Linked DNA regions of Caenorhabditis elegans. The protein of the gene in region 2 purifies or fractionates together with the protein of the main gene of each other region. This does not show direct contact. Each region holds a gene or a part of one and is shown on either strand. Other genes may lie near its edges.

Region 1 (6,024 bases), 3.7 Mb from region 2:
GAATTTTTTAATAACTGAGAATTCGATCGGTTTTTCAAGTGATTTTAAGGAAATAAAAAGTGTCACGCGAGAATGAAAATTAGGTCCACGTTTTAATTTCAGATCTTTTCAAAACAGAAATCATCAAAAATGAACATGATATTCGTAAATAACGTGTTCTCAGCATTCTAAAAACATATTTTTCGACCCAAATATCCCAATTTGATTTTTTGCCATTTTCCGAAAGGCAAAAGTCCGATTTCGTTTTTTGGAGCGGAGGACGATTTTGGAGATGTGTAGAAATTTCAAAATTTTTTTGATGGGACTTGATAGAGCACCAAAAAATGCGATGTTTCGTCCACATTTCAAGTTTCTGCGTTGGATATGAAGGGTTTTATCGATGAAAATGGATTTTTCTGGAAAATGGTCTGTAACTCGACTGAAGTTTGAATTCTTGGAAAGATTTTGTGGAGAAATGTGAAAAAATATCTATAAACCCTATTTTAACTTATATGACATTCATAACTTGCTTATTTCATGAGATACATCCGTTTCATCAAAATTAGTTTCAGATTATTTGTGCAATTTTGTTCATGGATTACTATCTCTAGGAAATACCAACCTTACTGGTGCAAAACTAGATGCAAACTGTAGGAATTGAAATTTCAATCAATTTCACAGCAGGCAGTTTCTTTTGAATATGCTTAGTTGTCAAAATACTCCTGTTTGAAATTTCTAGAATCTAAGAGTGGCAACAGTTTTTCAGGTGAAAAGTATATTCCAAGAGTTGCCAGTCGGAAAAAACGCTTCAAAATTGTATGAAAAGTTTACAGAGCTTCAGTTCATATTAATATTTTTTGTTTTGTTTGAGAAATTCAGCTTAAAGCGAGAAAAGTACCTAACTCTCAATTAATGTTTCCAATTGCTATATAAATACCAATTTTGTGACAAGTATATCTTGAAAAGCAGAAATTTTTGCACAAAATGTTTGACTGAGAAATTAATGGAAAATATCTTATCTGTCTGTCACAAAAACCTGCTTATTGATAAGTATCCTAGTTTCAGAGATACATGACTTCAAAGTTATTTTACCAAAAAACGTCCAAAAACTTTGGTTCCTCTTCCGTTACAACGGTGTATCTACCACAAGAAAGATTTTTGTGAGATATTTTTATTGATTTAACATTTTATAGATATTTTCAAAAATAATCTGTAAACTTTTTTCAAATAACTTCAACTTCAATATAGGTTACAGGCCATTTTCCAAAAAAAATCCATTTTCATCGATAAAATCCCTCATATCCAACGTAGAAACTTGAGATTTGGATGAAACATCGTAATTTTTGGTGCTCTATCAAGTTCCTTTAAAAAAATTTTGAAAAATCTGCACATCTCCAAAATCGTCCTCCGCTCTGAAAAACTAAATCGGACTTTTGCCTTTCAAAAAATCTACATTTGAAAAGAAGGCGTGGTCTAACGCACGTTTTTCCCCGTGAATGGCGGAACCCTGATTGTCATCGGCTGCTTTATTGTTTTAAAATAGCATATTTTCTCAATTTTACTTGCACCTGTGGTTTGACGGCTTATATCTCGGTTGCCTTAACGTTTATCAAAAAATTTTCAACAATCAAAATATAGAGAAAAATTTTGTACGTGTTTTGTCCGTTGACACTTCTTTAATATGACTAAAGACAACTGAGATACTGAGACTGAGACTGTCAAACAAGAGCAAAGGGGTCTAATAGGGGAAATACGGTCATTTTATTTGTCAGAGACTTTCATGATTTACAGGTTTTAAAGGGCTAAACTGAAACAGCTACAATGAAGCGTGATGAAAAAATTTGTCACTTCAAAAGCGTACTTCCATATTCTAAGTTTCTAAGTTTGAAAGCTTTTTCGTGGAGAATGATCAGAACCAAAAAGTTTTCTCTATTTCTTGTCATTATTTGCTCTTGACAGGTAAACCCAACCCACATCTATTCAGCCAGAATTGTAGTATTTTTTACGACTCGAACTTTGTTTCCATACTGGCACTCGCAACACATTTTTTTCAATACGACACCATAAAAAGGATGGCTTCAAAAAGCGAATTATTATAGTGATAAGCATATTTCTTCTTATCAATTAGCAACTCTATGCAACCTTCATTTCTTTAGAGTCTACCGCATTTTTATAGATTTTTTATTACGATTTTCATTAATTCTGATCATTGAGAGTCCATTTTATTCAGAATGTGTCGAACTCTACTTGGTGTAGCTTTTCTAGTTGTGACGGTCCTATCTCAAGGAGAAAAGGATTTGATCCAGAATCTGCCCGGTCTTTTGTTCAAAGCCAATTTCAAGTCATATTCTGGATATGTCGATGCAAATGCAAATGGAACATGGAAAATGCATTATATGTGAGTTTTATATTCTCGGCAAATCTGGAAATCTGAAGTCTTATTTTCAAGTGAACCATTAGTGAATGTATTTTTTTCGAATTCATTAGTTCTCAAAATTTCTCAAAATTCCAGCTTTTTGCTTTCATATAGTTTCTTAGATCTTCTTTGAAAAGTATACTCCTTACTCGAATGCACGTTTTTTTTGTGAAATTTCGCAGTTTACACAATGATTGAAGATCATTCTATTTTCGGAACTCATTGAACTTCAAAACGTATTTCTCATCAAAATTTCAAAAGTTCCCTTGAAATGTCATTTCTCAATTGAATAATCATCAATTCATTTTGTTGTCACTATTTCTTCTGTTTAATTTAAAATTTCCACCTCACGAAGCATCAAGTAGTCATCTAATTCAGTCATAATTCTTGTGTAATTCTCTGCAAATACAATTAAAAATTTACTGATAACGTTTTTCGCTGTCCATGCGAAAACTGATAAAATTATTGGAAATACAAATTAAAAAGAAATTGTGCTTCCAGGTTGACAGAATCTCGATCAAATCCAGATACTGATCCATTATTGGTATGGTTCAATGGAGGGCCAGGATGCTCATCTCTTGGAGGACTTTTCGAAGAACTTGGTCCATTTTATGTTAACTTTGATGGACAAACTCTTTATGAGAACCCATATGCATGGAATGCGGTAATTATTATTTTTGGGGAAAAGGATAAGCTGTTTGCAATTCCAAAGACCAGAGTTTTATTATGTAGTTAAAAGAATTTCAAATCAGATTCCTGTAACACTCGGTTGCCTATGAAAACCGAAATGATAATCATAACTTTCAGTTTAGACTACAACTCTTTTCGATCAAAGGCGGTTTGCTAATTACCATTCGAAGACCACGTTATGATATTTAGTTCTCGTTGAATTGATAGAGAAAAGAAAGTTTGAATAGAAAATAGTCTTGCTTACGCAAATTTCAAGTTTTATTGCTTTTTGCAATTTATCGTTGAAACCTCATTTATTGTATAGATAACAAATTTAGGCACATAAAACACAACTTTGTGTAGTTTAAAAATGAAACCAAATTGAAACATAAAAAGGGACAGGGACATGTATTAGGATAATAAAAACTATAAATTTAATATTTAAAATTTCAGAAAGCCAACGTTCTCTACTTAGAATCCCCAATTGGAGTTGGTTATTCATATGACACTACTACTCCAGGATACTTCCAAGCTAATGATGATCAATCAGCTGCACAGAATTATCAGGCTCTCACAAACTTCTTCAATGTGTAATTGAATTTTAAGTCTAGATACGTAACAGAAAAATGTTAAATTTCAGTGCTCAACCTAAATATACGAACAGAACATTCTATCTTTCTGGAGAATCGTATGCAGGAATTTATATTCCAATGTTGACCGATTTGATTGTACAAGGAATCAACAATCCCAATCAACCCTTTCCAAACAAAAACTTCCAGGTAAAATAATTACACAATTACTTCAAAACATGTCTAATTTAGGGTTCTGCAATTGGAAACGGATTCATGAATGTAGCTGGACTTCTCAATGCCCTTACCCTTTGGAGTGCCTACCATGGACGTGTCTCTGAGCAGTAAGAACATTTTAAAACTGTTTTGTTCGTTTTAAACTGAACTTATTTTTTCAGGAATTGGGCCGACATCAAAGCAAACTGTTCAAAGGGAGCCGACGTTGACAGTTTTGATTTCTCTCAATTCACAACTTCTCAAAATAAAATTGACTACGTAGGAGATGGCTCATACTGCGGAAACCTCATTCAACCACTCATTTCGCAAAACGCTTTAGGAAATGAAGGGTATGAGATTTTGTATTTTATATATTTAACGTAATTTTCAGATTTGACCAGTACAACTTCTACCAAGAATGCTATGACAAATCTGTCTTTCAAGCCCCACCACCAGCTGGAGGAAAGAGACACAAGAGAAGTGCTATGCAAGGAGTATCTTCGGTCCAGAAGAACTTGCAATATCAACAACTCGGAAACTTCCAAGGAACTTCCAATTTGGCAAAGAACACTGCTGTTAGTTTATCTTAGTTTGTTAATTGAAACGCTTGCTTCATTGTTCAGACTCTTGTCAACCGTTTCTCAAATGACAATCAATTTGGATATTTTTGCTGGAATGAAGATGCTGTGTCAAAGTATTTGAACAGTGACAATGTGCAGAATGCTCTCAACATTCCACAAGCATGGAAGGATCAGAAAAACACATGGGAAGATTGTAGAATGTCTATCTATAATAATTATACTCTGAAATACAACACTACCAATCGATTCTTCAACAATATCATCACAAATCTCACAACCGACTTCCGTTTCTTAATCTACAATGGAGATGTCGATACTGTTTGTAACTATTTGGGAGATGCCAAGCACATTCTTCAAGTTGCTAAAGATAATGGACTTACCGTAAGTCACTTCTACCGTTAAATAATATTCCAATTATATTTTAAGAGTGGGCCACGTACCCCATGGTATTACAGTAACAACCAACAACTTGCTGGATATGTTCAAACTTACTCTGGCAAAAATAAGAACAATGCTATGATCACAATTGATCTTCTGACTGTAAAGGGAGCGGGACACATGGTTCCATATGATCGTGCAGGACCATCAGTTCAAATGATCTCCAACTTCGTTTGGGCTCCAAAGAATGTTGTTATCAACTATACCAGTCAAGATAATTTCAATCCAAACATTCAACTTTCTGATTTGGTTGACAGTGGATCCTCATCAACTGTTGCTTTCTTCATTTCTATGTTCGCTGTATTGCTCAACATCGTTTTCTAAGTTTTTTTCTAATTTATTGATTCAAGACTATATATGTAGTAATGTTTTTTAAACATTTGAAAATTCAATAAAAATGTACATAATTATTAGATTTAAGCTTGAAGCAATTTTTGTTGCTCTACAGATTTTGGTGGTTGTTGAACAAAAATATCGTCGGCTTCTTCGATGTCAGGATTGTGCATTCCAAGGGAGAAATGATAGAACCATCCACCGACAAGAGCACCAACAAATGGAGCAATGGCTGGAGCTAGCCAATAGTTAGGGTATGGAGAGCTGAAATCATTATATGAGATATTTGTGAATTGACACTGTGAACTAACTGGAAAACACCTGGACCATAGATAAAATAACTGAAGAGTCGTGGTCCGAGATCTCTTGCTGGATTAATTGGATATCCAATGTTCATTCCAAATCCAGTTCCGATCATCATTACCAAGAATCCGAAGAACATTGGATGCCAAATTTTTGGAATTTGATTTCTCTCATCAATAACAACGCAGAGGAAGTATGCGAGAACTCCGGTACCGACGCACTGATCAATGTATGGACCCCATACTCCAAGATTTGGAGATGGATAACTGGCAAAGCAACCAGCTGTTCCAGTAGCTCCGAGGATTGTGCGATTACCTCCATCAAATGCATTGAATTGTTCTGAAAATTTCAAAATAATTTCAACAGGGAGAATAAGTAGGATACCATAGTAATAAGAGTACATTCCAAGAGAAGCCACGAAAGCTCCAGCGGTTTGAGCAATTGCGTACAGTGGCACCCAAGCAAGTTTGAGATGACCAAGAGACCAAAGTAGAAGGGAAACAGCTGGATTGAGATGACC
Region 2 (3,169 bases):
GAAAACATAATCAGACTTGATATTTCCAACAAAACCGGCCCCACAAAAGTGATCGAAATCTGTATAAACTTCAACCGTTGCCGCCAGACACTCGATTGTCAACCCGACAAGGTTTTTGCCATCGTTGTCAACACAGGCCTAATGTTCTGCGAGTACGCTCAGTTCTTCCTCGATACATTCGTCCCTTGCCAGGTCAAGATTGACGCCAAAGCTTCCGAGTGCTCTAAAAACTGGGATCCCTACCCGAGTGAGATTTCGGATAAGGAGAAGATGGCAAAGATTCACAAAGAGGCATGTGATAACCTTTTCGGGAAAGACAATTGCCTAGAAAAGGAAATCACAGAGACATGCGGAGTAGAGATGTGGAAGGGGTTCCGGAAGGTGAGTTTGAAGTTTCAATTGTTAAGTGAAATAATACTTTCGATGTTTTAGAACACTCTAGCAATGAAGACATTTATGGGAACATGCAAGTTTGGAGAGGAAATAACCATACCGAAATAATTAATAGCACCATATTTAAAACGTAAACACTCCTGCCTATTGATTTTTTTTCAAATGAATAATTTTATATCAAGTTGCCATAGGTTATCAAGTGATAGACATTCTTTGATCTATCTGTTCCTGGTCTGGTATATCATGTCTATAAAACTAGTTGCCCGAAGATTTTCAACATTCACTTTTCACGTTTCGAACTAAACATGTGTCGACATTTGGCAGTATTTATTCCTATCCTGATGTTTCTGACGGCGACGTGTGAAGATTCAGATTGTACCAAAGGCCCAGAACCTACAAAATGCTTGGAGGTAAGTTATGTGGTCTTGAATGGAAGATGTTATTCGAAACTGTTATCACTGAGACTTTTGTATGTTAGATTGAAAGAGAAGCTTAGATATCGAACATTGAATTTAAACAATTTTTTCTCACAGGTTTTAAAACAAATTGCTATAAACTCGAAAGAATTCGATATTTCCAACAAGACAAGCGCCAAGACAGTGATTGAAAACTGTGAAAAGTTCAACCATTGCCATCACACTCTCGACTGCCTTACCGAAGAAAAATTTGTCTACGTTGTCAACGTAACTTTCATGTTTTGCGATTACGTTCAGTTTTTTTCCGGACCCTTTGTCCCCTGTCAGACTACGATTGAGGCTAAAGTTTCCGAGTGCAATAAGAACTGGAATCCCTTCCCAAAAGAGACTCCGGATCAGGAGAAAATGGCTGAGGTTCGGAAAACGGCATGTGACAACTTTTTCGGAAAAGATAATTGCATGCAGAAGGAGATCACGGAGATTTGCGGAGCAGAGATGTGGAACGGGTTCCGGAAGGTGAGCTTCATCTTCAGAATTTACAGATAAAAAAATAAATTTGTAGTTATATTATAATTTGCAGATTCTGCTCGCACTCAACACTGCATTGGGAGCATGCAAGTTTCAAGATCATTGAATATTAAATTTGTTATTATTATATCTTACGGAAATGATAAATAGCAACGTATGAATCAGTTGATATCAATTCGTCATAAGTCATCAACTGATAGACAGTCTTTGATCTATCCCTTTCTGACCATATCATGTGTATAAAACTTGTTGACCGAAGTGTTTGACACTTTTTGCTTTGTGAAAGAAAATATGTTTGTAACATTTCTGACTATTCTGATATTTGTGGCGGCGACATCTGAAGCCCTAAATTGTACAAACCCTGGAGGTCCAAAGGCCGTGAAATGCTTGGAGGTAAGATTTTAATTTGTTTTTTAATTTTCACCAAAAAGTAACCTAAATCTTATCAGTTTCCAGATATAGTTGGGCATTCTTAACTTGATTAAATTAAATTCGTAGAAAAGTATGGTAACTTTGACGTGTTCGAAATTATTCGTTGAATGTCGCTTGAGTTGAAAAAACTTCTGTGAAAAATCAGTCACGTTCGATGGGAAGTTTCAGGCTTAGGCTCAGTCTCAGGCTGAAGCTGGGCGGTGGAAAAATTTTTAAAAAATTTTGAAATACATTTCGCGACATTTGGTGACATTACTTGAATAATTCCATAAGATTAGCCTAAAAACAGAAGGAACTAGGTTGCAGCAGTCTTAAAAATACTCAACATTAGTCTTTTCATGTTTTCATCGAACTGGGTGACAACGCAAAAGGCTTCAATATCTCCAACAAAACCAGCACCACAAAAATGATCGAAAACTGTGGAAAGTTCAACCGTTGCCGCCGCACACTCGATTGCCTGATCGAACAAAAATTCGTCTACGCTGTCAACATAACCCTCATGTTCTGCGATACCGTTCAGTTCTTCTCAAAACAGTTTATCCCTTGCCAAATACTACTAGACGCTAGAGCATCAGAGTGCTCTAAAAACTGGAATCCCTACCCGAAAGAGATTCCGGATAAGGTGAAAATGGCAGAGATTCAGAAAGTGGCGTGTGAGAACTTTTTCGGGAAGCATGGGTGCATGCAGAAGGAGATCACGGAGACATGTGGAGCAGAGATGTGGACCGGGTTCAAGAAGGTTAGAGGGTTGAGGAGTGTTAAAATGTAAAATTATATGTTAGTAATTTCCAGAATAATCTAGCACTCAACACAATAATTGGAGCATGTAAGTTGGAAGAGCGATAGTTGATAAATAAATTTTTATGTGTTTTACGTATTCAAATAAATAAATTGGTGAACGTCATCGGGCATCAGAAGGTACTTTGAAAAAATGAAAGTATAGGAAAAAATGCACAGCGGGCCAAATAAGCTCCTAAACTCGCTAAACTAAGTATCTTCAAACTGGCGTATCTCAAAAACTACACGTCTACTAAACAATTGTTTTATTAACAAAATGTTTAGAAATATTTTTTCTTTCTTGCACACTAATTTTTCTTTTAATACACCAACTATTTGTAGAGTTACACAGCGTCAAAGCCATTTTCCCAAAAATCACAAAAAATTTTGAGAACTCTTTTGTTGTACCCTTTATAACTCAACTTCCATTAAATTTCAAAAAATAACTTTTGTTGAATAATAAGTTAAAAATATTTCTCCACATTTTACCAGTTGAAAATTTTTTGATATTCCTATGTTCCACCAAGTTATAGACCGTTTTCTGAAAAAATCCATTTTTGCTCATAAAACTCTTCATATCCAACGTATCGACTTGAAATTTTGAAAAATGTTCACTTTTTTGA

Evidence for each region.
Region 1: the proteins of W10G11.1 (region 2) and ctsa-3.1 fractionate together in Caenorhabditis elegans (co-fractionation; one large-scale study listed by BioGRID). This does not show direct contact.

What each region holds. Positions count from the first base shown.
Region 1 is NC_003280.10:7,230,644-7,236,667, forward strand, and holds ctsa-3.1 (Serine carboxypeptidase ctsa-3.1), read left to right. Parts: upstream 1-2,209; 5' UTR 2,210-2,210; coding exon 2,211-2,377; intron 2,378-2,896; coding exon 2,897-3,059; intron 3,060-3,517; coding exon 3,518-3,654; intron 3,655-3,704; coding exon 3,705-3,843; intron 3,844-3,885; coding exon 3,886-3,977; intron 3,978-4,031; coding exon 4,032-4,199; intron 4,200-4,240; coding exon 4,241-4,424; intron 4,425-4,472; coding exon 4,473-4,811; intron 4,812-4,856; coding exon 4,857-5,192; 3' UTR 5,193-5,277; downstream 5,278-6,024. Other genes in the region: aqp-1 (Aquaporin), read right to left, coding at 5,285-5,465, 5,513-5,843, 5,889-6,024.
Region 2 is NC_003280.10:3,559,152-3,562,320, reverse strand, and holds W10G11.1 (T20D4.11-like domain-containing protein), read left to right. Parts: upstream 1-1,628; coding exon 1,629-1,730; intron 1,731-2,100; coding exon 2,101-2,508; intron 2,509-2,561; coding exon 2,562-2,615; 3' UTR 2,616-2,669; downstream 2,670-3,169. Other genes in the region: W10G11.3 (T20D4.11-like domain-containing protein), read left to right, coding at 1-381, 433-501; W10G11.2 (T20D4.11-like domain-containing protein), read left to right, coding at 699-803, 927-1,325, 1,390-1,443.